4 linked regions of the Pelodiscus sinensis genome follow. The protein of the gene in region 3 interacts with the protein of the main gene of each other region in a pairwise test. Links are inferred from orthologs where the notes say so. Each region holds a gene or a part of one and is shown on either strand. Other genes may lie near its edges. The genes, in order: NME3, AGPAT5, UBQLN1 and KLHL42.

What was found.
Region 1: the proteins of UBQLN1 (region 3) and NME3 interact in binary tests that used the Homo sapiens proteins (3 or more experiments, as listed by UniProt). The two-hybrid records come from large-scale screens. The link is inferred for Pelodiscus sinensis from reciprocal best matches to the Homo sapiens genes UBQLN1 and NME3.
Region 2: the proteins of UBQLN1 (region 3) and AGPAT5 interact in binary tests that used the Homo sapiens proteins (3 or more experiments, as listed by UniProt). The two-hybrid records come from large-scale screens. The link is inferred for Pelodiscus sinensis from reciprocal best matches to the Homo sapiens genes UBQLN1 and AGPAT5.
Region 4: the proteins of UBQLN1 (region 3) and KLHL42 interact in binary tests that used the Homo sapiens proteins (3 or more experiments, as listed by UniProt). The two-hybrid records come from large-scale screens. The link is inferred for Pelodiscus sinensis from reciprocal best matches to the Homo sapiens genes UBQLN1 and KLHL42.

Annotation. Positions count from the first base shown.
Region 1 is NC_134726.1:469,896-477,370, reverse strand, and holds the start of NME3 (nucleoside diphosphate kinase 3), read right to left. Parts: upstream 3,130-7,475; 5' UTR 3,117-3,129; coding exon 2,999-3,116; intron 1,211-2,998; coding exon 1,080-1,210; intron 1-1,079. Other genes in the region: MRPS34 (small ribosomal subunit protein mS34), read right to left, coding at 6,087-6,370. UniProt on the Homo sapiens protein: Catalyzes the phosphorylation of ribonucleosides and deoxyribonucleoside diphosphates, other than ATP, into the corresponding triphosphates with ATP as the major phosphate donor.
Region 2 is NC_134713.1:41,456,948-41,465,234, forward strand, and holds the start of AGPAT5 (1-acyl-sn-glycerol-3-phosphate acyltransferase epsilon), read left to right. Parts: upstream 1-5,205; 5' UTR 5,206-5,748; coding exon 5,749-5,967; intron 5,968-8,287. UniProt on the Homo sapiens protein: Converts 1-acyl-sn-glycerol-3-phosphate (lysophosphatidic acid or LPA) into 1,2-diacyl-sn-glycerol-3-phosphate (phosphatidic acid or PA) by incorporating an acyl moiety at the sn-2 position of the glycerol backbone.
Region 3 is NC_134716.1:40,477,718-40,484,920, forward strand, and holds the start of UBQLN1 (ubiquilin-1), read right to left. Parts: upstream 3,083-7,203; 5' UTR 2,815-3,082; coding exon 2,653-2,814; intron 1-2,652. UniProt on the Homo sapiens protein: Plays an important role in the regulation of different protein degradation mechanisms and pathways including ubiquitin-proteasome system (UPS), autophagy and endoplasmic reticulum-associated protein degradation (ERAD) pathway.
Region 4 is NC_134711.1:129,725,784-129,733,880, reverse strand, and holds the start of KLHL42 (kelch-like protein 42), read right to left. Parts: upstream 3,301-8,097; 5' UTR 3,158-3,300; coding exon 2,295-3,157; intron 1-2,294. UniProt on the Homo sapiens protein: Substrate-specific adapter of a BCR (BTB-CUL3-RBX1) E3 ubiquitin-protein ligase complex required for mitotic progression and cytokinesis. The BCR(KLHL42) E3 ubiquitin ligase complex mediates the ubiquitination and subsequent degradation of KATNA1.

The sequences.
Region 1 (7,475 bases), on a different chromosome or scaffold from region 3:
AAACATGGGAACTTTCCTTTTGTTTCCTGTCTCCATCTAGTAATAGTAGGATTTAACACTATTTGGAGCTGCCATAGGAGGGATGCTGGAGAAATGGTCTCAGCCAGACTATACAGCAGCTCTGATACCAGGTGTTTCTGAGCTTTGTTAATCATGGCCAAGTGGATAGCAGGGATGTGAAGCATTAGTTGACTATCCAATAAGAAAAGGCTAATCGGATAGTTGACAGGATAGTCAACTTGTCGCTTCCTCTGCCTTGCTGCCTCTTTCAGGAAGAGGCAGCGGGGGAGAGAGGAGGTATTTCAAGGTGGCAGCACCACTTGAAGCCTGGGGCCAGACCCCAGGCTCCATGCGGCACTGCCACTTTGAAATGCCGCGTGCAGCCTGGGGCTAGCTGAGGTGGCCCCAGACTGAACGTGGAGCCCAGGATCCACGTTCCCCAGACTCCCAGCGGCACTGCCACTTTGAAATGCTGCACGGAACCTGGCATCAGGCTCCTTGCGGTGTTTCAAAGACGCTGCGCCACATGAAGTCCCCAGAAGAAACTGGGCTCCATGCAGCACTTTTGCCTTTAACGTGTGGCAACAACCCTATGGTCGATGCAAAATGCGCTGACTATTCGATTAGTCAGTTAATCGATACTTAGTGGACAGAGCACTGGACTGGGAACTTGTGAGGCAGGAATACTTAATCCTACTTCAGAGCAGGGGGCTAAACTAGATGACCCCTTGATGTCTCTTCCAGACCCAAATTTCTATGCTTCTATGGATTCTATTGCCAACATCGCCCCTGACTGGGTGACTTTAGGCAAGCAATGTCCCCGCTCTATACTTCAGTTTTCTCATATGTAAAATGGGGATCATGAAAGTGACCTGTGTAAAGTGCTTTCAGATTTATTGATAAAAAGTACTACATAAAAGCTATGCATTACTTACAAAGCACCATTAGCAAGCAGGGTGCAAACAGGTCCTTGTTCCAAAGGTTTAAAGCCACAAGACAGAGCATACACAATGCGGCCTGGACTGGACTTTTAGAGACAAGAGTGCCAGGACAATCCTTGATCTGCCAGCTCCTCTCACCTGCATAAGCTTCATCCCCACCAGTTTGAAGCCCTTCTTTTCAAAGCGCCTGATGATCTCCCCTATGAGATGCCGCTGTACCCCATCTGGCTTGATGGCTAGGAAGGTGAGCTCATTTACTCCTGTGTAAGCTGAAAGCAGATGAAGAAAAGGAAGAACACTTAGGTCTAGAGACAATCTCAGCATGCATTCAAGATCAGAAGGGTCACTACAACCAGGATCAAGGAACTAAAAAATAAAATCAGGGCCTGGGGAGCTGCGTGAAGCTTCCTTCGCCCTGCCCCCGCCCCGTGTGACCTCCTCGTAGGGCAGAGGAAACTTCCCGCAGCTCTCCCGCCTCCAGGTTAATCAGGGCTTGGGGGCGGGGGAGTGCGTGATGTCTTCTCCAGCCCTTGGAGGAGCACATAGCACTTTGAAGTGCCGCATGCTCCTCCCAGGGCAGGAGAAAGTTTTGTGTGCTCCCCTGCCCCCAGGAACTAATTGGCCTGGGGGCAGGGGAGCGGAAGGGCCTGCGCAGGCCAAATCAACTCACTTGGTGGGCTGGATCCAGCCCTTGGAGGCGCTTTTGCCCACCTCTGTACTAGATGGGGGGGGGGGGAGCTAGAGACCTCTGTCTTTCAGCAGGATAGTGGTATAGGGTCTGCCCAGTAGGGAGGGAAGTTATAGAATCACAGAAGATTAGGGGTGGAAGAGACCTCAAGGTGGTCATCTAGTCCAACGCCCTGCTCAAAGCAGGACCATAGAATACACTGGCTAGGCTTTGAGACTTCCGCAAAAGGAGGGCTGAAGCTTTGAGCGGCTAAGAAGATCATTAAGTTTGGCCATCCTAGCATAGATCATAGAGGTGGTATGTGTAAAAAGTTGGAGCTAAGAGTCAAGAAGGCCAGATTTCATTTCTAGCCTTCTAGTGGATGGCTGTGGGACCTTGGGAGAATTCTCTGTACCTCAATTTTCCCACCTGTAAAATAAACACCTTATGCAGCCTTTTTGTTCCCTCCCCAAGCCCAATTACATGCCTTAGTCAGAATGACCCAAATGCAGTGATAATTTACTGCCATGGAGAAGGGTTGGGTACCACTCTGCTCTCAGTAGTGCAGGGGTGGGCAATAATTTCACAGGGGAACCCACTTCATGAATTTTGGTCCCAGGCTAGCTCTGGGACCCCAAAAGAGCCTTGTGCAGGAGGGATGTGGATGCGGGCTAGAGAGACACAGTGGCTGTATCTACATTGGCAAGATTTTGCGCAAAAGCAGCTACTTTTGCGCAAAAACTTGCTGCCTGTCTACACTGGAGGGAAGTTCTTGCACAAGAACACTGACGTTCTAATGCGAGAAATCGGTGCCTCTTGCACATGCACTGACACTCCCGCTCAGGATAAGCCCTTTTGCACAACTGTTCTTGCGCAAGAGGCCAGTGTAGACAGGCAACAGGACTTTCTTGCAAGAAAGCCCAACGGCTAAAAGGGCCCCTGGAGCTTCTTGCCCAAGAGCGTCCACACTGGCACGGTGCTCCGGCGCAAAGGCACCTGGCAGTGCAGACCCTCCCGCGCAAATACTCTTGCGTTCAAAGCATTTGTGCAAGATCTTGCCCACGTAGCCGCAGCCTGCGCGAGCGGGACAGACCCTGGGGTAGGAGCCACGGGGCGCAGGCCGGCTGTGGCTGGGCGCGGAGCCGTGCGCGGCTCAAGGACGCGCCAAGGGGCAGCGCCTGCTCTGCCGCGCTCCTGAGGCGTTTCCCGCCCTGCGCGCGACCGCCCCGCCCCGCCCCGCCGCCGAGCACACGCGCTGCGAACCAGCGGGGCGTCGGCCGCGCGCCTCGGCCGAGCAGGGCCCGGGCCCCACGCAGCCCCTCCGCGGGCGACTCCTGCCCCCAAACGGCCGCGCCCCCCCGCGGCCTGGTCCCGCCCGGCCGGCGCTCACCGCTCTGGAAGAGGCTGGCGAGCAGGGTGAGCACCAGGCAGATCATGGCGGGAGACCGTGACGGGGCGCGCGCGTGGAGCCGGACGCCGCTGCTACGGCCTGGGCAACGCACGCGCATGCGCCGCTAGCTGCCTGGTCACGGCACACGCACACGCCGCTAGGGGGCGGGGAGGACGTGCCCGTCTCGCCCCTCAGCCCGAGCCACAGGGCCCTGCCAGAAAGCCCCGGGCTGAGGGGGGGGGAATGCGGGTGTGTTACGAGCCCCCCAGGCCCTGTCGGGTACGCGCCTAGCAGGCTTGCAGCGCCTAGCGCCCCACACGCCGTGCAGCCCGGAGCCCAGCTGCCTGCTTCGCGCTGAGGCGCTCGGGCTGCCAGACTAGGGGCAGCTAAACCTGCGACCCCGCCGCAGTGTCCTTACCCCACTGGCAGCCTAAGGGCCAGGCTGGTGCATGCGCTAGGCCGCCGCACAGGCGCTGCTTGGGATCCTTAAGAACAGCTACACTGGGTCAGAGCAAAGGTCCATCCACCCAGCGCCTGTCTCCCAACAGAACAGGGAATCATCATGTGATCCCTCCCCTTCACCCATCTCCAGACAAACAGAGGCTGGGGACACCATTCCTACCCATCCTAGCTAATGGCCATTGATGGACCTGACCTCCATGAATCTATCTCGCTCTTTTTTGAACCATGTTGAAGTCCTAGTCTTCACAACATCCTCTGACAAGGAGTTCCACAGGTTGACTGTGCGCTGTGTGAAAAAAACCCTTCATTTTGTTTGTCTTAAACCTGCTACCTATTAATTTGGTGACCCCCAATTCTTATATTATGGAAACAAGTACCAGTAAATAACTTTGTTACTCACTTTTTCTGTACCCATCATGACTTTTATAGACCTCTAGCATATCCTCCCTTAGTCTCCTCTTTTTTAGATGAAAAATTCAAGTCTTTTTAATCTCTCTTTATATGGGACCCATTCCAAATCCCTAATAGTTTTTGTTGCTCATTTCGGAACCTTTTCCAATGCCAATAGATCTTTTTAGAGATGAGGCAATCACATCTGTATGCAGTATTCAAGATGTAAGTGTACCACGGTTTTATAGAGAGGCAATAAGATATTCTCTATCCCTTTTTTAATGATTCCTAACAATCTATGTGCTTTTCTGACTGCCGCTGCACCCTGAGTGGATGTTTTCAGAGAACTACAGTAGACTTCTGATAATCTGGCACCTTTGGGACCTAGGTGGTGCCGTATTATCGGATATGCTGGAGTATTGGGAGGTACTCCAGCGGGGGGCTGTGATGGGTCTGCCAGGACCCGCAGTGCGTCCAGGGGGTGGGCAGGGAATGGCACAGCGAGGGGCGAACGCTCCGCCATTTTGCAGGAAGGCAGGGGAAGCCCCGCACCGCCGCCAAGAGTTTCCAGGAGTGGAGCATTTGCGCAAGAGGGCTTTTGCCCAAACGGGAGCAGCATAGCATTTCCGCAAGAACACTGACAATCTTATATGAGATCGTCAGTGTTCTTGCAGAAATTCAAGGGGCCAGTGTAGACAGTTGATAAGTTTTTTCGCAAAGGCAGTTGCTTTTGTGGAAAAACTTGCCAGTCTAGAAGCAGCCAATGTGCTCTGCTGGAATGGGTGCCTGGCCAGGACAGTATAGTTCATTATAAGGCTGCAAAGGGGTAAATAAATCTCAAAATACAACTACGCCTTTTTGCAATGAAAAATATTTTTGATATTTCTTTATTGTATTACCAATACCAAATAAGATCACAGAAAAAATACCAAATAAGATCACTTGTAAAAAATTAATGTATTTATTGTTTAAACAGGTCCACTTTTTTTTTCTTTTCTTGATTTACTTCTGGTAAGTTTTGTGGCTGAGGTCTGATGACCTAGCATGCTCAAACATTACAGGTTCTAATAACAGGTTTGTTTGCATCAACTAATCCTAAAATAGCACAGGGGCATTGAAGCAAATGGCAGCTTGACACTGACTGCAAAAGGGAGTCCGACCTTTTACTGTTTATAAGAAAAAAGATGGGTTCTTCTTCCCCACTGTCAATTTGGCATACAATGTGGAATTTGAAAGTCAAGATGGATTCCTTCTATCTTGCTCATGACCTTCACAATCCTAGTTCATTTGAGTGGTATTTATGGGTTTAGTTAGGGCTATAGTTGAGGAGATGCCTCTATTAGGGATGTTAAATGGCATTTAATCAGCTAATCAATAGAATTTTCATCAACTAGTCAATTAGTTGATGGGGGGGAGGGGTAGAGCTACAGTGGGGTTAGTTCGCAACCCCGGGAGCTAACCCTGCTGTGGTTCTGCCTTTTAAATGTATTAAGAGCCATCTAGCTCTTAATACATTTAAAAAGCACAAGTTCAGCAGGGGGGATGGAGATGATGCTGGGGAACCAGCTTTTAAGCCAGTTTGCCCAGCATCGGCTCCTATTCCACCCCCTTGGTGCCTCTCTCTGAAAGAGAGGTGGGGGGGAAGAAGAGAAGGGAGTGACCAGTTGAGTCACTAGCCAACTATCAGATAAGCATGTGTTTATTGGATAGTCACATAGTGGTTAGGGATGTATCAAGGCAAAGGGTTCTAAAATTGAAATTTAATTAATATGTCTGCTAATGGTTCACAAAACAGACTAGAATCCAACTCATGTCTTTGGAACTGTAGTAGCAGGATAAGAGAAGCTTGAAGGTGCCATTTTTAGAGTCGTCATTCTATTATTGTAGGCCCAAACTTTGAGAGCATCCTCTCAAAAGAGTCTCATTTGCGGTCTGCCTGCACACCTGGACACATACGCCGCACCAGAAAAGGCAAGGAACAAAAAAGGGAGGGCCCTCTGCGAATGAAAGACCACAAAAATCTTGAGTATCACTACATCTTCTGAATATATACAAGAAAGTTGCACATTTGGATGTGAAACGTATTGAGACATCAACATATTATACTTTAATACATTGAACCAGAAGTGGGCATGTGGCTTATGGTCCTATTCTTCATTAAGGAGAATTGTATGCGCAATCAACACAGAATATTAAAAAGCCTTTCAGATGCTCCAACATGTACAGCTCTAGACCTTCATACTGGTGTCCCCTTAGCTTTTTTCTGATTTTTAAAGTAGTCGTTTGTGAAGATGATGATTTTCTCCAGATCAATCAGTGGTTCCTGTGTGTCAAGTTTTCCTTCCTTCTGCCTTTGTGCAAGGATCATGGCACGGAGAAGGGGGGGATATGGCACATACTGAATGATTTCCACTGACACTGGAGTAAATTTCTTGAAGCACTCCTCTTCATGTTTGGGCACCATCCGCCAGTCATGATACATCACCTTGTCAATCTCTTTCACTTCATTATATGTCTTGCCTAAGGAAAGATGATGAACAAGTAAACAATACTATGAACAAACTCCATAATGAGGACTATGCCACTGCATTATCTCCAATGCCTCAGCTCGGCATAGTACTGGATATTTTATGGGAGTTGTATCTACTACAGCAGTGGTCCCCAACCTTTTTGGGTGGTGGGTGCCGCGCGTGAAGCAGGCGCCCGGTGTGGGGCCGTGCATGCGCCGGGCACCTGGGGGTGGCGCTAGGCAGGCACACATAAATGCCCCAGTGGGCACCACATTGGGGACCCCTGTACTACAGTACGCACTCCCACTACAAGTTGTATAGCAGATAACACAGGCAACTGACAGAACATCTGGATTATAGTCCTGACACTGCTCTTGATCACTTGTTAGCTTGACCAAGTCATTTCGCCTCTCTTATTCAGTTTCCACAACTCTATACTTTACAGGGATGTTGGGGAGTTTAATTCATTAATATTTATAAAACACTTCAGATGGAAGAGAACCGATTTGTCGGACTCCATTTCCTTGCCAACACAGATTGTCCACTATGACAGAGTCTCTAGGGATTCCTTCAAGTTACTTTTGTAATTTAAAACGAATTGGACTTTTACTATTTTCCTTGTGAAATAATTCTACAGTGGACTAAATCAAACTGTTAGGAAGTTTTCTTTTCTTGCTTTCATTTTATTAGGTTGGGTGAGTGAAAAAGGGGAGCTACCAGTGGAGGCGGATTGCCGAGTGACAAGAAAGCCAACTTTTTCCTCCTGAATAATCCAATTATCTGTAGGAGAGAATGCAGGAAGAAGCCCAGCAGCAGAGTGGGGCAATCCTGTTTATTGCACCCAGTGTAATTATCATTACCTGCCCTATGGACGGGTGGGGCATGTGTGCATTCGGTGAAAGGAGCTCCTGGCCCTCAAAGACCACGTGCTTTGGAGGCCAGGGTGGATGAATTGGAGGAGCTAAGGAAGGCACAGAGGTACGCAGATGAGGCTTTCCATCTCTAGTCAGACAGCCCCTGTGCTGTTAAGGAGGTTGAAAGGCTCAGGGAAGGAGAACAGTCAACTGGTGCAGAGGGAAATAATCCCATAGTTGGAATCTTCCTTCCAGATGATG
Region 2 (8,287 bases), on a different chromosome or scaffold from region 3:
TGTAAGTGCTGAAAAGCCAGCTTTTGCAGGTTCTCCCTGCAGTTCATCATCAGAGGACTCTCTAGGCAACCCCTGTAGATCTAAACTTGCTTCTCTTCCCTACCAGCAGGGCATCATCTTAGTGCAGAGAGTGTCGAGGTGGTGGGGCTTCCGACCAGGTGCAGCAAATGCCTGATACCTCCTACCAGTGTTCAATTTAAAGACTAACGAGATGGTTTAAAGTGCTACGTAGTTTTTCCTTTTGTTTTAGCAAGATCAGACTAACACGGCTACCTCTCTATTACAGTAAACTTCTGATAATCCGGCACCTTTAGGACCCAGGGGGTGCCGGATTATCAGATATGCCGGACTATCAGAAGGGGGGGCTATGAGGGGTCTGGAGTGGGGTGGGAGCGGATGCCACCCCAGACCCTTCATAGCCCCCTCTTACGACAGTCTGGCTCTGCCCCAGGCGTCCCTGATTCAGCCGCTGCTGGTCAGTTTCAGCAGCAGCTGAATCGGGGATGCCTGCAATAGAGCAGCTGGGGTGCTGCCGGGTTGGTCCCGCAGCGCCAAGGGGCGGCGCTACGGCACCAACCCAGCAGCACCCCAGCTGCTCTTGGGGACGCCTGGGGCAGAGCAGCTGGGGTGCTGCGGGGTTGGTCCCGCAGCGCCGAGGGGCGGCGCTACGGGACCAACCCCGCAGCACCCCAGCTGCTTTGCCCCAGGCATTGGGATTCAGCCTGCTGGTGAAACTGACGCTGCTGGTCAGTTTCAGCAGCGGCTGAATCCCGACGCCTGGGGCAAAGCAGCTGGGGTGCTGCCGGGTTGGTCCCGTAGCTCTGCCCCGGGCTTCCTGGAATCAGCCGCTGATCTGTTTCAGCAGCGGCTGAATCGGGGACCCCTGGGGCAGAGCAGCTGGAGTGCTGCCGCATTGGTCCCGCAGCGCCAAAGGACGGCACTGCGGGACCAACGCGGCAGCACTCCAGCTGCTCTGCCCCAGGCGTCCCCAAGAGCAGCTGGGGTGCTGCCGGGTTGGTCCCGCAGCCCCGAGGGTCAGTGCTACGGGACCAACCCGGCAGCACCCCAGCTGCTCTGCTCCCGGCTTCCCCGATTCAGCTGCTGGTCAGTTTCAGCTGCAGCTGAATGGGGGAAGCCTGTCCGGCTGCCCCAGCACTTCCGGGTTCCTGATGGTGCTGGACCATCAGGAGTCCCGGAGCATTGGATGCCGGACTAATGGAGTTTTACTGTACTATTCAATGTTCAATTTGATATCTTTGGGTCTGTGGGGAAGTGCTGAGCTTTGGAAGGTGGTGTGCATACAACGTAAAATGTGCTGTATAATGCTAAATATTCCGAAAAATCAAGTCCTAATCATTCTAATGAGACATCCAAAAATTACTGAATACTTTTGAGTTTGTTCTCCCTGTATTAAAAATCCTTAGGTGCAATGCCACAATACACTTATCTTCTCCAGTGTATATCACTTTACTACTCTCTTGTGAAGTGCCCTGAGAAAAATTATAATTCTTTTTTCAGAACAGGGTTCAAATATTGTACAATAAAAAAGGTCTGGAAGGACATACTGAGGAGAAAACACAATATTTAACAACAGCCAGGTAGAAGTTCTGTAAAATAGTATGGGTATGTCTACACTACTCTCCTAGTTCGAACTAGGAGGGTAATGTATGCATACCGCACTTGCTAATGAAGCCCGGGATTTGAATTTCCCGGGCTTCATTAGCATAAGCGGGGAGCCGCCATTTTTAAATCCCCGCTGCTTCGAACCCCGTGTAGCGCGGCTACACGGGGCTCGAACTAGGTAGTTCGGACTAGGGTCCTATTCCGAACTACCGTTACTCCTCGTTTCACGTGAAACGAGGAGTAACGGTAGTTCGGAATAGGACCCTAGTCCGAACTACCTAGTTCGAGCCCCGTGTAGCCGCGCTACACGGGGTTCGAAGCAGCGGGGATTTAAAAATGGCGGCTCCCCGCTTATGCTAATGAAGCCCGGGAAATTCAAATCCCGGGCTTCATTAGCAAGTGCGGTATGCATACATTACCCCGCTAGTTCGAACTAGCGGGGTAGTGTAGACATACCCTTAGTGATCTTGTAACTGGAGACTTTATCATGATGCATATACACAACGGGGCCAAATTTAAGTTGCAAAGTTGTGTTTGCTTCAGAATTTCATCTTTCCAGGTGCAAAAATAATTTCTAGTCCTAGCAGAACAAGATATCAGACTATAAATCATACTGTTCCAATTACCACTTTGGTTGCCTCCTCCATTTGAGTTCTGACATGATCTTATTGGCTTCTATCTCAAACTTATTTCTGAACATGAATTGAAATGGAAGTTTTGAAATGGTATAAACTGTATTAATTTTCACTGCTAGCAATCCAGAAAATGTTAGTGGCAAAAAATCACATCAAAACTGAAGTGGAGAAATAAGATGCTAATCAGAATAATGTGATTTCATGAACTGTTGTGTGATTTGTAGGGGCCTCTTGGCAGGGCAGAGCAGAGCAAATTATTTCCAAACACTATTTTTTCCCAAATACTGGTTCTAGATAAGTGAACAGAAACAAAATATTGTGATCTCAGTAGTAGTAACTTGAAATGCTATGACATCTGTGCAATATGATCGTGTTAATATTGCTATGAGAACTTTGACTTTCCAAATTTGGGAGTTTAAATGTTCATACTTCAGGTGGTATTTACATAGTGTTTCATTTTTATGCATTTGATTTTGATGTGACATTATCTGGCTTCATCCAGTCTAATTAATATTTTCTAGTGTATAGGTTCTTAAATTTGCCAACACCATCATGTAATTAATCCAACAAGGAAGAGTTTAAATATTTTAAGCTGTTGCATTTAATGCTTTACATTTCAGGGTTTTTTCTGAAGGAAAAATGTGGGGGCTAAGCAAAATGCCATTGAGGTATGAACAGTTATGTGGAATTTATATGTGGAAGCCATAAATAGATCAATCAATATGCACACATCTGTGAGTCAAACAAACCTCATTTGCAAGGGCTAACCCAAGTTCCTCTCACCGTCAACCAAAGCACAGGAATTTTAGACACGTCAGCTTGCCATCTCACCTTAAAACTAAACAAAAATACAATTTGTCAAAAGTGCTGTTTCATCTAAGCTGAAATACGTTAGTTTCTACAAAATTTTCAGCATGAAGGGGGAAAGAGTGAGGGAGTGTATACTTCCTGAACTAAAAACTCAATCAAAAATAAATTTTGACACAATTTTATTTTCACAAAAGTGTTCAAAAGGCTTGGATTTCATTCCAGATTTCAAAAGCTGTCATGAAATACAACTGTCGTCTGGTCAGCTCTAACATACAGCATCTGAGGGCTTGTCCGCATGTGGAAATTTACCCACATAATTATACGGTTATATAATTATACTGATGTAAATTCCCACATAAGAAGTGCTGTCACAAGTAGCATTATACCAGTATAACTGCTATGGTATAATTATATTGGTAAATTTTCCCTAAACATCAGTAAGTAAAGAGTTGTATCCTTTACATGATCCTGAAGACTACATGGAAAAAGCTAAATCATTTTAGCTAAAATTAAACAAAACAAAAATAACCCAAAACAACCAATTTGAGGCAGACCCTCAGGATGTAAATTTCAGGCTGAAGTTATGCTATGATAAAACTATAAACAACTGAAAACAAACTTTGAATGGGACATCTCAGGCACCTTAATAACAAGTGGCACTAAGTAGATCTGTCCACAAAAACAAGCAGCCCAATTCCAGAAAAAAACCTTTTTTGCTAGGTAGAAACAATCCACTAGCAAGACTCAGTTTGCCAGTTACTGTATGGCTACGTCTAGACTACATCCCTTTTTCGAAAAAGGGATGTAAATTAGACGTATCACAATGGCTAATGAAGCGGGGATTTAAATCTCCCCCACTTCATTAGTATAAAAATGGCTGCCACTTTTTTTCGGCACGGAGATTTGCCGGAGAAAAGCGCCAGTCTAGACGCTGATCTTGCAGAAAATAAAGCCTTTTCCGAAAGATCTCTTATCCCTCTTGAAATATGTATTTATTATTTATGTCTGTAGCAGTAATATTTTGGACCTCATGGTTCCAGACACTGTACAAATGTGTGTCAGACAGATGGTTCCTGTGCCAAGGAGCTTGTAATCTACCATCCAGCATGGCATTTTCAACTTCAGCATAGCAACACCTATAGGGTGCGTCTAGACTGGCAAGATTTTGTGCAAAAGCAAGCGCTTTTGTGCAAAACTTGCCAGCTGTCTACACTGGCTGCTTGAATTTGCGCAAGAGCACTGACATTCTAATGTAAGAATTCAGTGCTTCTTGCGCAAATACTTTGACGCTCCCGCTCAGGGATAAGCCCTCTTGCGTAAGAGGGCCAGTGTAGACAGGCACCTTAATTTTTTGCGCAAGAAAGCCCGATGGCTAAAATGGCCATCGGGGCTTTCTTGCGCAAAAGTGTGTCTATACTGGGCACGGGTGCTTTTGCGCAAAAGCACCCGTGCCAATCTAGACGCTCTGTTGCGGAAATACTTTTAACGGAAAAACTTTTCCGTTAAAAGTATTTCCACAAAATCATGCCAGTCTAGACTCAGCCATAGAGAAAGATCAGCAGCATACACCAACATCTTGGTATACTGGCATCCCAGCTGAGGGAACCCTCACCAAGCCCTGTGAGCTGAAAAGTGACACCATTGCTATGGCACTGATTGGCTTAAAGGCGCTCTAAGGTGGATGCCCAGAACAGGGGATTGTGAGATGTGTGACAGAAAAGGCAGGATGGGCACTTGGCCTGGCGTGCCGAGACACACTGGATGGTGGTGGATGGGGGCAGTGAACAAGGGCCAACATCCAGGTAGGGCAGGAGGAGCTAGGTGCCCATAAGCCAAACTGTACAACAGGAAGTAAGTGCCTGAGGAAGGGCTGTAGGGAGGGGCGAGCGGCGAAACTGGAACTGCAGGGGTGGGTGCTTGGAATGGGTCTGTGAGACACAGAGTGGATGTGTGTGTGGAAGGGAGGCGGCGGGGGAATGGCAGATGCCCACCAGGGAGGTGGTGCTGGGCGAGGGCAGGAGTCCAGAGTCGGGGCTGAGAGTGGCAGGTGACAGGACGGGGCTGTGGGGGTAGGCGGCAGCGGCTGACGAGGACACGGCTGCGGTGGGGGCGGGCCAGCAGGGCGCTAACACGGAGGTTAGGATTGGCGGGCACTAGCGGCGGGGCGGGAGAGAGGGTGCCCAAGACGCCGTGGTGACTGACGTCCAGACTGGGGCGGGGAGACTGAGTATCCGGGACGGGATCTATGTGGGGGGCCGAAGACCCAGGGCTCTGGCGGGGCGGCGGGAACAGCCTGGCCCCTGCCAGCCGGCGCTGCCCAGCCCCGTCCCGGGGAGACACCTCAGGCCGCAGCCCCACCTACACCCTCTGCTGAACGGGGCGGGGCGGCGGCCTCCGGTCCTTGCCCGCCCCCGGAAGTCTCCCCGCAGCCACTGAGGAGCCACCTTGTTGCGGCCCGCGCCGCTGCTGCCGCCGGGCAATCTGGTGGAGGAGGCGGCCAAGGGGAGACGGAACCCGGCCCATCCCCCAGCTCCCGCCGCCGCCACGCTTGCTCCAGCCCGGGCGCCGCCCCTGCCCGCCCCCGCTGCGCTGGCTATGCGGCCGGGCGCCGGAGGCGGCTGGAGACAGACCGGACGCGGCGCACGTGGGTGCTGAGGGGCGGCGAGGCCGGGCCGGGAAGATGCTGTTGTCCCTGGTGCTGCACACCTACTCCATGCGCTATGTCCTGCCCGCCGCCGTAATGCTGGGCACCGCGCCCACCTACGTGCTGGCCTGGGGCGCCTGGCGCTTGCTCTCCGCCCTGCTGCCCGCCCGCTTCTACTGGGAGCTGGATGACCGGTTCTACAGCATCTACCAGAGCATGGTGCTCTTCTTCTTCGAGCGCTACACCGGCGTGCAGGTGAACCCCCGCGCCTGGCACCGGGAGTGGGCAGCGAGCAGAGCGGGGGGCCGAGTGGGCACCAAGGGGTCTGCACTTGGGGCCACTGCCAGCCAGCTGCTACGTGGAGGGCACAGGATCTGTGCTGGGGCTCGTGAATGCACCCGTCGCCGCCGTGTTGCTTGGGTGCCGAGCTGTGCCACTACATGAACTGCTCAGACTGAGCCAGGTCATCCCGTGTCAAGCGTTTGTTGTACCTAAATAGACATACATTAGGCAGAGTAGTCTCAGTGAGATCAGAGTACCACGAAGGCAAAGAAAATATACTTAGGCCACTGGCTATCCACAGACCTAGCCCTCTGTTTGCACAACCTCTCAATTCAAATCTTCTTGTCACTCCCTTCCTGTGTTCTTGTCTGGGTTTTACAGCTAAGCAAGCTGCCTTTAATTGCAGCCACTTGACCTTGAAACCCGTGAGCTGCAGCCTTGGAAATCGGTGATAAAACTCCTACAGACTTCTCATTTCTGTAGGCTCTGGCTTTTCTTTTGTAAGCTGGGGTAGAGGTCTGACCCTCTTATTTTGCAAAGAATCATCACAATAAGTTTATCTGGCACTTTTCATTCACAGCTGTAAAAGTGCTTTAAAAGGAAGACCAATATTATTATGTTCATTTTACAGATATGGAAACTGAGGCAAAGAGACATCTGCATAATAACATTGTGGAATCCAGACGCGCTCTCCCCTTTTAGTGTTTTTAACAACAGAACCATGCTGTCTCTTTTGCACAATCACCATACTAGGTAATAAAATAATAGACAGGAGTAAGGCAAACAGGATTAATGAAACTACTAGAAATGACTGTTGCTACCCAAAGAAAAACCTGTGACCTTCCTTGAGTTCTTTGCAAATAGTGGCTTCAAACATATTTGTAGTATTGAATGATCACTATGAATATATCTTGGGTTATATAAAGTTGTTCGTGTCTGACTTGTGTTTCAAGTTAGACTTTTTCTATTATCACTTGGTTCATAGTAGAAGGAGTGTTAAAGGGGTACCTTTGAGTTAAAATAAAATGTAAAAATTAATATATTGTTAATAATAATAACTTCAATTATTACAACCAATGAAAGTAAGCATAACTTCCCAATATTCATACTGCTCATTTTCCTAAGTTCACTGAAGTTAATTGGAGCAGTGATTTCTAGTAGCTCTGAATTCAGGTTCAAGATCTCAAGGTAGAAACCCAGAATTGGAGGCCTCTCTTGCAAGTTTCAGCCTGCTCTTTCACCTATCAATATCTGTATGTGTGCACATAACTATACAGGCAGTCCCCGAGTTACGCGAATCCGACTTATGTCGGATCCGCAGATACGAACGGGGATTTTCTCGCCCCAGAGGACTGGAGTGGCGGGACACCTGGTCCCGCCGCCCGCCTCCTTCGGGGCGAGAAAAGCTGCTCCCCGTCTCCCTGGTCTGCTGCGGGAGCCAGCAGACCAGGGAGACGGGGAGCAAAGCGGCGCAGGACCCGCGGCTGCTTCCAGATCAGCTGGAAGCGCCGCGGGTCCGGCCCTGGGTCCTGCGCGGCTTTGCTCAGCATCTCCCTGGTCTGCATCTCCCTGATCTGGCCCGGGTCCTGCGCCGCTTTGCTCAGCGTCTCTCTGGTCTGCAGACCAGGGAGACGCTGAGCAAAGCCGCGCAGGACCCAGCTGGACCTGTGGCGCTTCCAGCTGATCTGGAAGCGGCCGCGGGTCCGGCCCCAGGGTCCTGCGCCGCTTTGCTCAGCGTCTCCCTGGTCTGCAGACCAGGGAGACGCTGAGCAAAGCGGCGCAGGACCCGGGCCGGACTGTGGCGCTTCCAGCTGATCTGGAAGCGCCGCGGGTCCAGCCCGGGTCCTCCGCCGCTTTGCTCCGCGTCTCTCTGGTCTGCTGGGGGGGACGCAGCTAGTGCCCCCCTCAGCAGACCAGGGAGATGTGGAGCAAAGCCCGGGGCCTGTGGTAGAGCAGGTGGGGTGCTGCCGGTTGGTCCCGCAGCACCGCTCCTTGGCGCTACTGGACCAACCCGGCAGCACCCCAGCTACTCTGCCCCAGGAGTCCTGATTCAGCCGCTGCTGATCAGTTTCAGCAGTGGCTGAATCAGGACGCCTGGGGCAGAGCAGCTGGGGTGCTGCTGGGTTGGTCCAGTAGCGCCGAGGAGCGGCTGCGCTACTGGACCAACCCAGCAGCACCCGAGCTGCTCTGCCCCAGGCGTCCCCAAGTTAGCCGCTGCTGAAACTGACCAGCGGCTGACTACAGGAAGCCCGAGGCAGAGTTGCTCTGTCCCGGGCTTCCTGGAATCAGCTGC
Region 3 (7,203 bases):
GGGCATCCTTGCCCATGACAGATAGGAGTGCCCTCTCCCCCTCCTGCCCAGCTTGCTCCCTTTTTAATCAGTTAACCAGTTAAACAATATGTTTACCTATTTAACCAATTAAACAGGATTTTACGTCCCTAATTACTACAGAGCCTAAGCAGGACTTGGAAAACCCATCTGCAAGTAGAAAGCTTTTCATGGCAAGTGACAATTCTAAAATAGTTCCTATACATAATAAAATTATTCTGAAAAAATTTTAAATGCAAAGTGTTTATAGTGTTGTCATTTTTAAACAACAAACAGCTCTGGGTTAACAGGCTCAAAACCACATAGAAGAGACCTATTACCTATTAATTTAAGTGAAAGACTGGTCCATATGACTGAAAAGGCTTTGCATCTCTTAGCTGGATTGTCAAAAGTTGCAAAATTTTAGAAAAGAAGTGAAATAAAAGTAATCAGTTTCATTACTGCTATTCAGAACTCTCAGGTGAATGGGGAAATGGAAAAAGTGTCAGTTTCACACAGCTGTTGCTTGCAAAAGCAAGCCAGAAGTATCAGAGAGGCACTGGAATTTTGCCTAGGTAAGCACAAGTCCAAAAATGAAGCTTGAAGGCAGAGTAACAGAGCCTACCCAAGTGCAGCAGTCAGGAGATTCTGGAAAAGCTTAAGGGTATGTTTTCACTGGAAATACTACAAGCTATGATCCTGCAGCATAGACAAATAGTATGGCAGTGGAACGTGTTCTTCCATTGTTCTAATAAATCCACCTTTGACAGGAAGTAGCTAGGCTGACAATTATTCTTCTGGCAATTTAGCAGTTTCTACACCATGGCTTAAGTCAACTTAATTACATTGCATGGGGAGTGATAGAATTCATAACTCGGAAGCTTACACCACTCCTAATGGACAAAGCGCGCCCCCTTTCAGCCATCAGGAGGTAGGCCTTCCTGAAACTTCTGGCCCAGCAATCAAAAATTGATCTTAATTAAAAAAAAAAAAATCAGATTTCTGAGTTGGATCCAAAGAGGAATACCAGGATAGAAATTTCAGCATCTTCCCCCTTCCTAGTAGCAGCAAGGGGCTGTGCTTCTAACCAGGGTGTTGATCCTAGCTCTTGCTGCTGGAGCTCCTATTTTGTCCTTTATATCTGCCCAGAAGTTATAGCCTTTATCAAATAGGCTACCACACCATTCCACACACTGGTCATGTTCCAAAAAATCTACTTACAAAGCCTTACAAAAGAAGGGTGCAGCTTTGGCTGAAGTCATTATGGTGTTTAAATTTAAACGGCATCTAATGCATCTCTAGGGATGCTAAATAATTACACACACAAAAAGGAATATAAAATGAGTTCCCATGGATAACATTTATTTTTGTAGCTCTGTTAATGTGGCAGTTTGTCTCCTTCATGAGCAAGGAAACTATTTTGCTAGTTGCTTTACAGTTTCACTGGTAATGTCTTACAGCCTGCAACCACAAAACTCCAAGCATCACTTAAGTATAATCATAGAAGTGTAGCCGTGTTAGTCTGGGGTAGCTGAAGCAAAATGCAGGACAATGGAGCACTTTAAAGACTAACAAGATGGTTTATTAGATGATGAGCTTTCGTGGGCCAGACCCACTTCCTCAGATCAAATAGTGGAAGAAAATAGTCACAACCATATATACCAAAGTATTCTTTGGTATATATGGTTGTGATTATTTTCTTCCACTATTTGATCTGAGGAAGTGGGTCTGGCCCACGAAAGCTCATCATCTAATAAACCATCTTGTTAGTCTTTAAAGTGCTCCATTGTCCTGCATTTTGCTTAAGTATAATCAGGCCTAGTCAATATTTGGATGGAAGGCCTCCAAAAAAAGAATATCACAGGAAATTGTTTGATTCAATAGATAGCATTCTTTCCTATGAACGCAAGTTGCAAAGGAACAAGTTGGCTGTCATAAAAACTTACAGAAAAAAAGATTCTAACAGCTCATGACTACACCACACCAGAGAAACTATTGTGTAATAGCACTAACACGTTTCCACATTTAACTAGCGATTTTTTTTTCAATCTAATTTAAACCGCAATACTCTTTTAGGGTAAAAGCATCACATGCACACTTCCTAACTGAAACACGTCCTGTACCACTTTCTTTAGCCATGAGGACTATCAGGTGAAGGCTGCTATTATCTTCTTTCATCACCAACCTCCGCCTGACTGGTAACCCGTTCAATTAGCAGTTCGCGGCCCCGTCTCCCGCAGTTAGCGCCACTCGGCTAACTGGGCTTAGGCTCAGCTTACAGTAGCAAAGATCGGTAAAGACGCTCCTCTCTGCTCTCCGAGAACTCGCTGCCCGTGGGCGAGCCGGCGCCGGCTAGTCGCGGGGCTAACTGTACTATAGCGGGAAATAAGCAGGGCCAGGGCAAGGAGCGGCAGCGCAGTGCTACTCAGCGAGGCGCTGCTTCGTCACCCGGCAGGGCCCTGGCTTGGCTTGGCGGGGAGGGCCCCGCTCTGCGGCTGGCCTCGGCACCGGGACAGCGCCGCCAACCTCCGCGCTCGCAGGAGCGCGCGGCTGCCGTTCTCCGGGGCTCGGAAACTGAGTAGGGGGCAGGAAGCTCCACGGCCGCGCCTGCCCCGTTTCCCCACCGGCGCGGCCTCCCGGGCCCGCCCCCCTCACCTGCCGCACGTTGCTGGTCTCGGACACCGCGAACTCCTCCTTCTCTTTGGGGGTTTTCACGGTGACTTTGATGATTCGAGGCTCCGAGTCGGCGGCTCCTCCCGGGGCGGGGGAATCCGGGGGGCTGGGGGCCCCGGGGGGGCTCTCTCCGCTCTCAGCCATGGCAGGGGGAGAGGGGCCGCTGGCTCTGGGTCTCGCTCGCTCTCGCCGCGCGGGGCACGCTGCGCAAACCCGGCTCCTCAGCGCCGCTGCCTCGCGCGCCGACACCGGAAAACACCCGCGACGCTCTCCCTCCCGGAGAGTTAAACGGAAACAACCCAGATCGGGCGCTGCGCGCACTGATGACGTCTCGAATGAGGGAAGTTACTAGAAAGGGATGTTGTCTCGCCAGGCATAGGACACAGGGCTAAGCCTCGCGCGCATGTGCAACAGGTGATTGAACAAGCGCGCACGCGCAATATCGATTGGCCGATAGTGCGCGAGAGTAATGGTTAGCCGCCGTGCGACTCCTTTCGGTTCTCACGTGTAACTAGCGCGCCTGCTCATGTCATCTGACGGGACTCGAATTATGCGTTCGCTTTGCCTAGTGCGCAGGTGCGGCCTCGTGCGCTTGAGCGGCTGAGCGAGACGTCAGTGGTTCCTGACGCTTTTGGCTCGAGGCCTTGATGCCCCGCCTCCCTCTCTCCTAGTGCGTCGCTGTCGGCGGGGGGTGGAGAGGGTCCAAAGTATCCCCAGGCCACGTCCATTGCAGCACGTGCAGTGCGGGCCGCTCGGCCGCAGTTAATTCACTACTGGTGTTTCTGAAGCAACCAGGCGCCTAGGTGTCCCTTTGCAACTTGCGTGGTGCAGAGTCGGGGGCCATAGGGTAGCCGCGCTCCAGGCCATATAGGTTGAGTGCCAGCTTTAGCACCCCACCCCCGGAAATCTGAGGCCCAGTTGTGCAGAGCTGCTTCATCATGGTGTCATGCATTGCAGCTGATACTCACACATACCATAACTTCGACGCAGTTGTGAGAAAGCCAGGAATTAATTGTTTAGGGGCTAGAACTATTACTTGTCTCCCTCCCAGCTTCTAAGGACACAGATCACCACTTTTCCCTGTGCACCCCCCCTTTTTTTCAAAGAGAGGGGCAGAGGCTCTGGCTAACCTCAGAGATAGGTTGTGAGTACCTAAGCACCCAGCAATCACAAATTAAGAACTAGTGTTCTAGTGTATTGTCCCTTTCCCAGATTCATTAAACCATCAATTGGCCACTGCTGTCCATGGACAACACACGAGGTTAAAAACTATTGGGCCAGTGATACCAAGCACTTGCAAAAGGTCCACGCAGAGCTGCTAAGGATAGAGCACATCATCAAGATAGCACACTCATTGTAATATCTATTTTGTCATATTGCTTTTCAGAATGCCTGCCCAGTTAGATGGCTGGCTGTGCTGCATATAACCACTAGACTCCACTCTGCTCCCAGGCCCAGAATAATCAAATATCAGTACAATCCCTTTGTAATGTTGGTTACATCCCCGTACTAATTGTCTCTCCTCCACTCTGCCGCTGCCTGCCCCCTTTCTTCTTCTGCTGCCCCCCACCTCCCCTCCCCTCCCCTCCACACAAGCCCCTTCCCTCTCCTCACCCCTCTTCTTAGTTCTCCCCCTGCCTCTTCTCAAAAGGAGACAAAGGAAAAAGGCAGGAGGGGGAGGGAAGGTGTCAGTGGGGGGTGGAAAAGGGGAGGGAATATAGAGGCAAGAGGAAGGAAGAGGAGAGGTTGGGAGTGAAGTGGGTGCTGGGAGAAGCAGCATTGAAAGGAGGGGTGGACATGAGGAAGGCAGGGGATGGAGCAAGTTGTAGGTGAGGGCACAGGGGGCATGAGGAGAACTGGGGCAGAGAGTGGTGAGGGGGTGAGCAGAGAGGGAAGGAGGAGGCACCAGGAAGGTGCAGGTACCAGGAGATTATGGGGGTAAAGCAGAAGGGCAGACATGTTGAGGGGAGGGATGGGCCCCAGAGAAGAGACGCAGGGTAGTGGGTAGAGGGAGGTGTTAGGAGAAAGGATGGGGAGAGGTACCTGCAGATAATCAGAGTGGGCAAAAGGGGAAGAGAAGGGCTGGTGCAGGGCAGGGGAGAGGGGGGCAGGTCCCCACAGGGCTGAGGGGAGTGAAAAGGGCAGGAGCAGGACAGCAGAGGAGAGTGAGGGGTGGGGGAACAGATAGGGGAAGGGACGGAGACAATGGCAGCAGAGGGGAAAAGGGAGAGGTTTATGATGTTTATTAGTAACTTGGGTGCCACAGTGGCACACATCCCAACAAGCAGACATGACCTCAATACAGGTGCACAAGACAAAACTCACTCTGCTTATGGGAGGAAAATCTTAGAGGGAACACTTCCCCCAGCCTCTCCGCCCCTCTCCCCAAGTTAATGCAATGCAAGTCGGGTTAATGTAACTGCAGGATAGTTTCATGGGGAGTGTCCTGTGTGGGCCAAACCTATCCCTATTGGTAGGACGACAGTAGGAAGAGTTCTTAGAAGGGTCACCCTTTACTTATGCTCATGTGTCCATCTTGACCTAAGGAGTACTACCTTCAGTGGTGGGACTTCTTGTGATGGGGGCGTGGCTAACAGGTCATAGGGGCATGGTTAATGGAAGTCAGGGGCATGGCTAATGTGTCCCTAATTTTGGTTCAGAAAATATGGTCACCATACCGCTATTGCTGCTGTGGTGTTGTCAGCAAAACTGGTGCAGGCCTATGTGTCATAGCAAAATTAGGTGTTTCTTCACTGTGGGGTATGGAGTGGCAGTAGTCTTGCTCTACTGCAAAGGGTGGGTGGGGAGCTGAGACTAAGGCTGGCAGTGAGGATTCTTTCATCTCACTAGGCCTGCTTCAGAGCTCACCTACTTTGTGCAATCAACACCTAATCTGAAATCTTTACTCAAGATTTCTCTCCTATTATAAACATTCACCATTTAAAAAGGACTACAGAACTATAATGGAAGCATCCACAGCAATACCACCACTGTTGGGCTATGTCTGGACTGGCATGATTTTCTGGAAATGCTTTTAATGGAAAAGTTTTCCATTAAAAGCATTTTTGGAAAAGCACGTCTAGATTGGCACGGACGCTTTTCTGCAAAAGCACTTTTTGCGGAAAAGCATCCGTGCCAATCTAGATGCGCTTTTCCGCAAAAAAGCCCCGATCGCCATTTTCGCGATCGGGATTTTTTTGCGGAAAACAAATCTGAGCTGCAAAAGTTTTGTGCAAAAGGACTTTTGCCCAAACAGGAGCAGCATAGTCTTTCCACAAGAACACTGACAATCTTACATGAGATCGTCAGTGCTTTTGCGGACATTCAAGCGGCCAGTGTAGACAGCTGGCAAGTTTTTCCGGAAAAGTGGCTGATTTTCCGGAAAAACTGGCCAGTCTAGTCACAGCCTTAAGGTATAGGAGGAAATGTGTGCTACATACCTATAGCATTTCCTCTGTTACCAGTCTCTGAAAAGAAAGCAAGCAGCTCTATTTAAGCAGACTGTGGTAGGAAACATACAAAAGGCTGTGAACTGTGCAGTCTGGAAATACAATGATCAGACTGAAAGAGATATGAATGTCCACTTGAGAGCAACAGCTAGGGAGCTGAGGGTGGGGTAGAAATACAGGTATTTGCCCTGAACTGTAACAGTTCCAGCAGCACAGAGCACTGGAAATTATCTTGGAACAGCATTTTATACAGAAATCAAACATCAGATTGGAAGGCAGAATTTCTTTTGCAGTCCACAGGTTAGTTAAATTTGGTCCAACTTTGAGCAGGGGATTGGACTAGATGACCACCTGATGTCTTTTTCAATTCTAATCTCCTATGATTCTATGAAACAAGTAGTGGTAACTAAGGAAATCATAGGTTTTACATGTAGGTTTTACATGTTTCAATCCCAGCTACAACATTTGTGAAATTAGGGTATCACAAAATAATGTAGTCTCACAAATATCAATTACATAATTTCATGCTTTTTGGAACATCTTTTATAATTTTTTAGTTTGAATGAGGCAGATTATTAATTCTTTGATTCAATTAGATCATTTAATAAAATGGGAACAAGTAATGTATTGCAATCAGTTATGCAAAATGACTTACTAATGCACTACAGTGGGTCCTCGTCATAGAATTACTCAGGTGCGGGGGAAAGTTCATCACAATATGATTTCTTGATGTACCTACTCTTTCAGTTCAGATGATAAAGAGTTTGAAGCTCAATAACTTTTGTCTCTCTCGGGACAATAAAACACTTTAAGACATTAAATTGCATTGGTGTGAATCTCACATCCTTTAGCCAGCAGCACATGAAAAACTAGAAAGCAAAACTCATCACAAACATAGGAACATAGCATAAGAACAACTATACTGAATCAGACCAAAGGTCCATCTAACCCAGTGTCCTGCCAATGCCACATGCTCCAGAGGGAGTGAACAGAACAGGTAATCATCAAAGGCACATCTACAGTGCAGGACAAAAGCCGAATTAACATACACAACTTCAGCTACATCAATTGCGTAGCTGAAGTT
Region 4 (8,097 bases), on a different chromosome or scaffold from region 3:
TCCTGCCGGGTGCTCCGCCGCTTTGTTCAGCGTCTCCCTGGTCTGCAGACCAGGGAGACGCTGAACAAAGCGGCGGAGCACCCGGCAGGACCCACGCCGCTTCCAGCTGATCTGGAAGCGCCACGGTTCGGCCCAGGTCCTCCGCAGCTTTGCTCCACGTCTCCCTGGACTGCTGGGGGAGGGGGGGGGGAGATGCAGCTAGTGCCCCCCCAGCAGACCAGGGAGACGTGGAGCAAAGCCGGGGGCCTGTGGTAGAGCAGGTGGGGCACTGCTGGTTGGTCCCGCAGCACCGCTCCTTGGCGCTACTGGACCAACCAGGCAGCACCCCAGCTGCTCTGCCCCAGGCGTCCTGATTCAGCTGCTGATCAGTTTCAGCAGTGGCTGAATCAGGATGCCTGGGGCAGAGCAGCTGGGGTGCTGCTGGGTTGGTCCAGTAGCTCCGAGGAGCGGCCGTGCTACTGGACCAAGCCAGCAGCACCCGAGCTGCTCTGCCCCAGGCGTCCCAAAGTCAGCCGCTGCTGAAACTGACCAGCGGCTGACTACAGGAAGCCCGAGGCAGAGTTGCTCTGCCCTCGGCTTCCTGGAATCAGCTGCTGATCAGTTTCAGCAGCAGCTGACTTGCGGACGCCTGGGGTTCTTACCTTGAATCTGTATGTAAGTGGAACTGGTGTCCAGATTCAGCGGCTGTTGAAACTGATCAGTTTCAGCAGTGGCTGATGCCAGTTCCGACTTACATACAGATTCAACTTAAGAACAAACCTACAGTCCCTATCTTGTACGTAACCCGGGGACTGCCTGTACTTCTATCAATGATCCTATGGAGCATGCATCATCTAGAAACATGTACAAACTAAGATGTTTGCCTTTTTTCTGATCTTCATTATCTTTTTCTTTATGAAAAAATCAATAAACACTAATTGCAAAAATACAGAGTTGTATGGGCCACTTCCACTGACAATTATAATACAGTTATGATCAACTTCATCAGCTTTTAAAACAATATAAGAAGCAAAAAGAAAGGAAGGCACCAGTTTCAAGGCAAACATTTTTGTTGGGTATACTCGATGGTAAATTCTCTTGGGCAGGGACTAGGGATGTGACTAATTACTCCCCCTTCCTCTCCCCCAGGGGAGGAGCAGGAGCCAAGACTGAGGGGAATTGGCTTAAAAGCTGGTTTCCCCCAGCACCATCTCTGAGGGGGCAGAGAAGGTACAGACACAGAGGAAACAGTGTGAGCAGGGTCTGAAGCAGTCTCCACTCGTACCAGTTCTGCTGTGATTCTGCTTTTAAAATGTACAAGAGCTCCATGTGGTCGTGCATATTTCAAAGACTCAGGCGCCGCAGGGAGCACAGGGCCAGTCCCCCACTGGCCTCACGCTCCCTACGGGGCTTCTGCTTTTGAACTGTAGCAAATACCTGGCAGAGCTCTTGCTACAGTTCAAAGGCGGAAGTGCCCTTATAGACTAAAATCGAATAGTGGATGGAAATCCCATTGACTATATGATTAATTAATTAATTAATTAATCTAAATGTAACATCCCTAGCAGGAACTGTGGTTTTATAGCAGGTGTGTGCAGAGCCTACCACAAAGTTTAAATGCCACAATACAAATAAGAACCTGTTTGGTCAATCTTGACTCTGATGTTCTGTACTCCTTACATGCATGGATCCATTGATGCCAACAGGACTCCTATATGTGGAAGACCAGATTATTGAGCCAAAAGACCCCATGCACTGACTAGGAAGAGAATTTTACCTTCATTATTTTACCATGAAATTCTTTTTTAAATAAAGACAGATATTTGGAGACTACAGAGAAAACTAGACCCTAAAGGCCCGATTGATCACTAATGATCTAAATGGGTTACCTGGTAAGCATCCCCCCCTAGACATACATACATGCATTCTTTTTTCCCTCTCTCTCTCTCCCCTCCTCCTTCCCCACTTCCATCCCTGAGCAAGCGTGGGGCCGGAAACAGATGGGTTGAAGCAGCCCCTGCCCACAGGGCAGAGAGTCCCCACCCTACTTTAATTTAATCAGTTAAGTGATTAAACTTAATGTTTAACCGGTTAATTAAACAGGATTTTACATTCCTATTAATCATCTCTTCGAGTACTGTCATTAACATCAGCAAACCGGGAGAAAAAGGGACAGTCAAATGCTGCTTACACTGATAGTGTTGACTTCACAAAATGCAGGTAGGTGGTGAATCAGGCCCTGCACTTCTGGGTCTAGTCTATACCTACCCAACTCAAAATGCTATATCTTGGTAATGCACCATGTGGGGGTTTACCTCTTTTGGTTCATTGAAGCCATCTGACACCATTCATTTATACAGGGGTTATAACAGTGGGCAGCCGATATCTCTTGGCTGGTGATCCTGTAGCCCCCGACGACAAACAGGTAGTTGTCCATCATTGCCGACCCATAGCCTCGGACATTCACTAGATCCAGGGGCATGTTGCTGGCCAGGGGCAGCCACCTCTGAGCCACCTCATCATACCTCAGCATGGAGCAAGGGGTTTCCTCCTGCAGGTGGCGGCATGGGGCCAGGCCCAGGGAGGAGGCACCCATGAAGTCTCCAATAGCCAGGAGGGTGGCAGTGCCCTTCATTCGCCTCTCCCTCAGCTGCTGCCTGAGGGCACTGGGCAGGAGGAGGTGGGGACGGGCCTCCGGCCGCCGCAGAACCTCATGATAATGGGCAGCCATGAAGCCCAGGCAGGCATCCTGCAGGTCCTGAAGGCCATAGACCTGGGCCAGGCGGTGCAGCTCCAGGCAGTTGCCCAGCCTCACCTGGGAGAGGAGCAGGCGCAGCAGGGGGGTGACCTGCAGGTAGGAGGCGGCCTCGACCAGCTCTTCCAGCAGAGGGGGCTCCTGCTCCCCGCCCTCCTCCTGCTCCAGCCGGGCCAGGCAGGAGGTGTTGATGAAGTCCAGCACCAGCTCCAGCCCCTGGGCGCTGAGCCCCCCGCGCAGCTGCTGCTCCTCCTGCCCCTGCCCCGCCTCCCGCATGCCCGAGCGGAACAGGGCGCGGAAATAGTCGCTCTGCTCGATCAGCTTCCTCTTGCTCACCGGGTAGCACCTGTCCCCCAGCCGGATCCTCACCACCTCCTCCTCCTCCGCGCCAGCCGCTGCCTCCCCCGCCTCCGCCTGGGACATGGCCCCGGGCTCCTGCCTGCCCCGCCGGCTGGCGGGAGGAGCGGGGCGGGGGGTGGCTCCCGTGGCGGCGGGCTCAGCCCCTCTCCCGGCTGCGTCCCGCGGCGGCGCGCAGGCCTAAAAAGGCAATGCTGGAGCCGGGGCGCTGCAGCAGGCCGGGGCCCCAGCGTCTCCAGGCCCCAGCTCCCGGCCGGGGAGGAGCCCGGGGAGGGCCTGGAAACGTCGCTCTCTGCTCCGTGCGCCTGGCGGGAGCACCGCCCCCCTCGTCCTAGCGAGCACCGGGGGCCGAGCTCAGCCCCGAGCTGCCTTCCCTGGCGGTCCCGCGACAGGTCCCTCCCGGGTGGGAGTCGCTCAGCAGCACCGCGCAGAGCCCAGAGACCTTTAGACCTTCTGACAATGGGGAAAGAATTTCGGCTTTATTTTTCTGTCTCTTATACCTCACTAGCAGATTTACCCAGCATTGGATGGGTCCTTAACTCATTCATCAAAAGAAAATGAAAATGTACATGCTTCCTTTAAAAATAAATAAAAAACGAGTGGCCCTGTATAAGCTTAGAGACTTACAAAAACATTATATAGCAGAGGTTCCCAAACTTTTTCAGACTGGGGACCAGTAAATCCATTCACAAGCTTTTGGAGGACCAGTAATGTTTATTTGCATATTCATTAAGCAGATGATGAATATGCAAATAAATTGTTTCTGGTCCTCCCAAAGACCCCATTGCCAACTTTAGCCCACAGAAAGTCAGTCCAGGCCACACAAGTGAGATACAAAAACATAACCCCTCAAACCTCACTAATGTGATCCCAACTGTGTTTGTGGGTGCTAGGACAGAGCTCTGGGGAAGGGTGCCAATGAGTGCTGGGCCAGGGGAGAGGATGCTTGCGGGTGCTGGGGCAAGGGACAGAGCACTTGTGGGTACTGGGGCAGGGTATTGTATGGGTCCGGGTGGGGGGGGAGGGGACAGGACCAGGACCGATACCTGGCGATCTTATAGCTGCCAAGGCCTAGGAAGTGCGCGGGCTGCTCCCCCGTCCTCCAAACGGTGGCACGGTACCTGACACGCTGGTCTGTTGCATGCCTGATGCCTTCCTGCACAGCGGGGTCCTGGACCGTGCCAGCCCCAACCGCTTGGGCAGTGCACACCTAGCTCCTCTGCTCTCCATGGCAGCATGCGCCGCCCGAGCAGCTGGAGCCAGCATAGTCCCGGATCTCCACCCACTCCCCTGCGCACGGGAAGGCAGCAGGGGAACAAAGTCCCCACCATGCGCTGGACCGGCATTTTAGGTACTGTACCGGCTGTTGGGGCAGGGGGAGAGCAGCCCACACGCTTCCGGAACCTGGTACGCAGCTGCAGAACTGCCGCCCTATCCCGCAGGAAGCCTGTGCTACCTCCATTGACACTGGGAGTTCAGTGCAGAGTTCATCTTGTGGATTGCAGGCCGTGAGGCGGGCTCTCGCAAACATTTTTCTGAGGCCTGGTATTTTTTTCCTAAGGACCAGTACTGGGCCGTGGACCACAGTTTAGGAAACGCTGTTATACAGTGTCATGAGCTTTTGTAGGCACAACCCACTTCTTCAGATGAGCAGAGCAAGAGCCACAGAGAAGTACAGAAATCCAAAATTTTAAGCTGAAAAAGAGAGGACAGAGGGATAAAAAGGAGGGAGGTGGGGGTAGGCAGAAACCCTGTCAACTATAGTGTCCATGCTAAATGTGTCTAATAGAGTGGGCTGTGTCTGATCCTTAGCTTTTGATGTCATTTGGGTGTTGAATATAACAGCCCATCTAGCTAATATCTTTGTTCTGTCCTTGTGTGAAGGTGTCAGCTTTGCATATGAAGACCAGTTCCACAGTTTCTCTCTCTAGCTCAGGGGTGGGCAAAAGGGCCTCCGTAGGCCAGATCCGGCCCACCAAGCTGTAGCAATTAGGGCCTGGGGGCAGGGGAAGCGCACCAAGTTTCCTCTGTCCTGCCAGGAGTATGTAGCACTTTGAAGTGCCTTGCTTGGGGGCGGGGGAGAACATGAAGATTCTTCCGCTCTATCCCCACCCTGCGAGGAGCACACAGCACTTTCAAGTGCTTCCTGCTCCTCGCATGGCGTGGGTAGGCCGAAGGAAACTTTGTGCACTTCTCCTGCCCCCCAACCAATCAGGGTTTGGGGGCAGGGGAATGCGTGAAGTCTCCTCCCACCCTGCCAGGAGCACAGGGCACTTCAAAGTGCTATATGCTCCTGGCATAGGGGAGGAAACTTCATGCACTTCCCCTGCCCCCAGGCTCTAATTGGCCTGGAGGTGGGGAGTGTGCAAAGCCTCTTCCTGTCCTGCCAGGGGCATGGGTGCTTAGTGGGAAGGGGGGGGCAAAGAGGCTCCCCCACCCCCGACCAATCATGATCTGTGGGTGGGGAAGCCCGGAAGCATCCTGGCCCCACCCTTTCTGTTATAGGCCCCACCCCAGCCAAAAATTATTGCCCACCCCTGTCTTAAAGGAATAACAAACGTAATATAACTGGTCTGTCTGGAGAAGGGCTAGACAGAGCAGGACAGACATATCCAGGGATGGTCTGGCACTGAGTGTGTGGAGACTCTGTACACTATAATCAAGGCTGGGGACAGCCACGGTAGGACTGGCAGACTGCAGTTACAATAACACACCTGGGAGTGGCTAGCATATTGTTGTCCAGTTAGGAGTAGTCTGATTATTTCTTTTGTTGTTTCCGTGGTGGTTGTACTCCTTGTGATAGAAAATAAAAAGTATTGAAAAACTAAGCCAAGAAGCAAAAGGAGTTTACAATTTAGACCCAGATCCTGTAAACACTTAAGCACATGCTTAGCCTCTTGCATGGAAATACATTTAATTTATTTTAATGTGATTAGTCACAAGCATGCAACACGGTGTATTTGCAAAGTAGACAGTGAGTTTAAGGGATGGTACTTGGTCCTGCTGTAAGGGCAAGTGAGTGGACTCGATGACCTCTCAAGGTCCCTTCCAGTTCTATGAGATGGTATATCTCCATATATATATTAATGCAAATACAATCACATGTGAGGAGTATGGAGTGACATACATTGAAAATGAAAAAGACCTATCAGCTTGTGTAGTTTGTCCTGTACCCAGAAGGTGGGGAATGGGAATCAGCATAGCACAGCATACAAATATCTCATCAAAGTGTGATAGCTCTATGACAGATTGTACCCCCATGTTCATACCTTGCACACCTTGGTAACAATCTGTGTGATGTAAACTAACAATTTGCCGGTCATTGTTGTCATGGTAAAATGCATGTGGGAACATTGTATGTAAAGTTGTTTTATTCAAGAGTACGTTGTTACTAACAATGTTCCAGGTCTAAGGAATGGTCAAACAAATGCCTCAGAGATAAAGGGTAAGTTGACACCTCAGCCAGGTATAAACAAGGCCAATGGATATTATATGCTCTCTGCACAGACTGCCAGTCACAATGCTTCCACCTGGAAATGCATCTCAAAGGTAGGTAAGAGGACTATAAAAAGGAAGGGGAAACAACTCCTTCTCCTGTCTCTCCCTCTCCCTTTGTTGAATACTGCACCAGAAAGAACAAATGATGCAACCATGGACCTAGAGAAAGGGTCCTGGCCTAAACAGTTTGACTGCTCAGAACATCTTGTTCGAAAAACTTAACTTGGAATTTAGCTTTCTTTACTTGCCTTTTATCTTTTTCTAGTAACCATTTTTGACTTTCATGTCTCATTACAGACAGTTTGAGTGCAAGTAATTCATAAACTTGTTTTATTGTTTTAGCTCATCGAGTGTGTTTGAAGAATCTGGGAAACTCTATTTGGGGTAACAAAATAGGTGCAGGTTGCCTACACAGACGGGAGTGAATTACATGCTGGAGACTGCAGGCATGCCATGACTGGAGGCTGGAGCAGTAAAGCAGTGTAAATTGCATCCCAAGTTAGAAAGCAGGAGTGACACAGATACTCGGTAGTGTAAATTATGCCCTGTGTATGTCACAATCTCCCAGGCTACAAAAGATACCTTGGGGTATTTTGGCATTACCCAAGGCTGGATTGCAGGGTGCTGGATTGCACCATGAGATTTGGGATGTTCACAGAAATATGTAGAGGTAGTAACTAGGGATGTTAAATTAAGTGTAATTAGCTAATTGAGTAGTCAATGGAATTTCCATCAACTACTCAATTAATTGATAAGGGGAGAAACTGCAGCACTGCAGCAGGGGACCAGGTGCAAGCTGGGAATCAACTGTCCCACCACTGCACCTCTGCTTTTTAAATGCATTAAAAGCCTGGTGTTTCTTAATACATTTAAAAAGGAGATGCACAGCATCTGGGACTGGGCACAAGCTGGGAGTCAGCTGATTCCAAGCTTGCACCCGATCCCAGCTATGCCTCTGCCTCCCCAGATGGTGCTGGGGAAATCGGCATTTAAGCCACACACACACACACACACACACACACACCCCAGCACAGGCTCCTGCTCCCCCCTTGCTGCCTCTCTTTGATAGAGGCAGCAAGGTGGGGTGGAGTGACTAGTCAAGTCACTACTTAACTACCTGATAAGCATCTTATTGGGTAGTCGACCAGTCACTTACATCCCTAGTAGCAACCCTTCTTGACATGCTGGAGGCATAGCTGTATTAAGAATGGATAGCCATTTATTAGCTACATATTTACTATTTTTCCACTTTGCACCTTCCAAGAACTTTACTAGACCATGGTATTGTAATAGAAGTAAAGGCATGCCCTTATTTTTCCTCCCCATCAGTAGCATTTAAGCATTTTCAGGTTATCTGCAGAATATCTGCAATTTGTATACCTTTTTCTGATAGATCGTTGTAGTGAAGCCTGAATCAGGGACTTCCAGAGCTAAAAGCCTCAGTCTCTACAGCTTAAGCTAAAGAGGCAGGCTATATAGCTGAGAATTGTAACATATTGACATCCTCT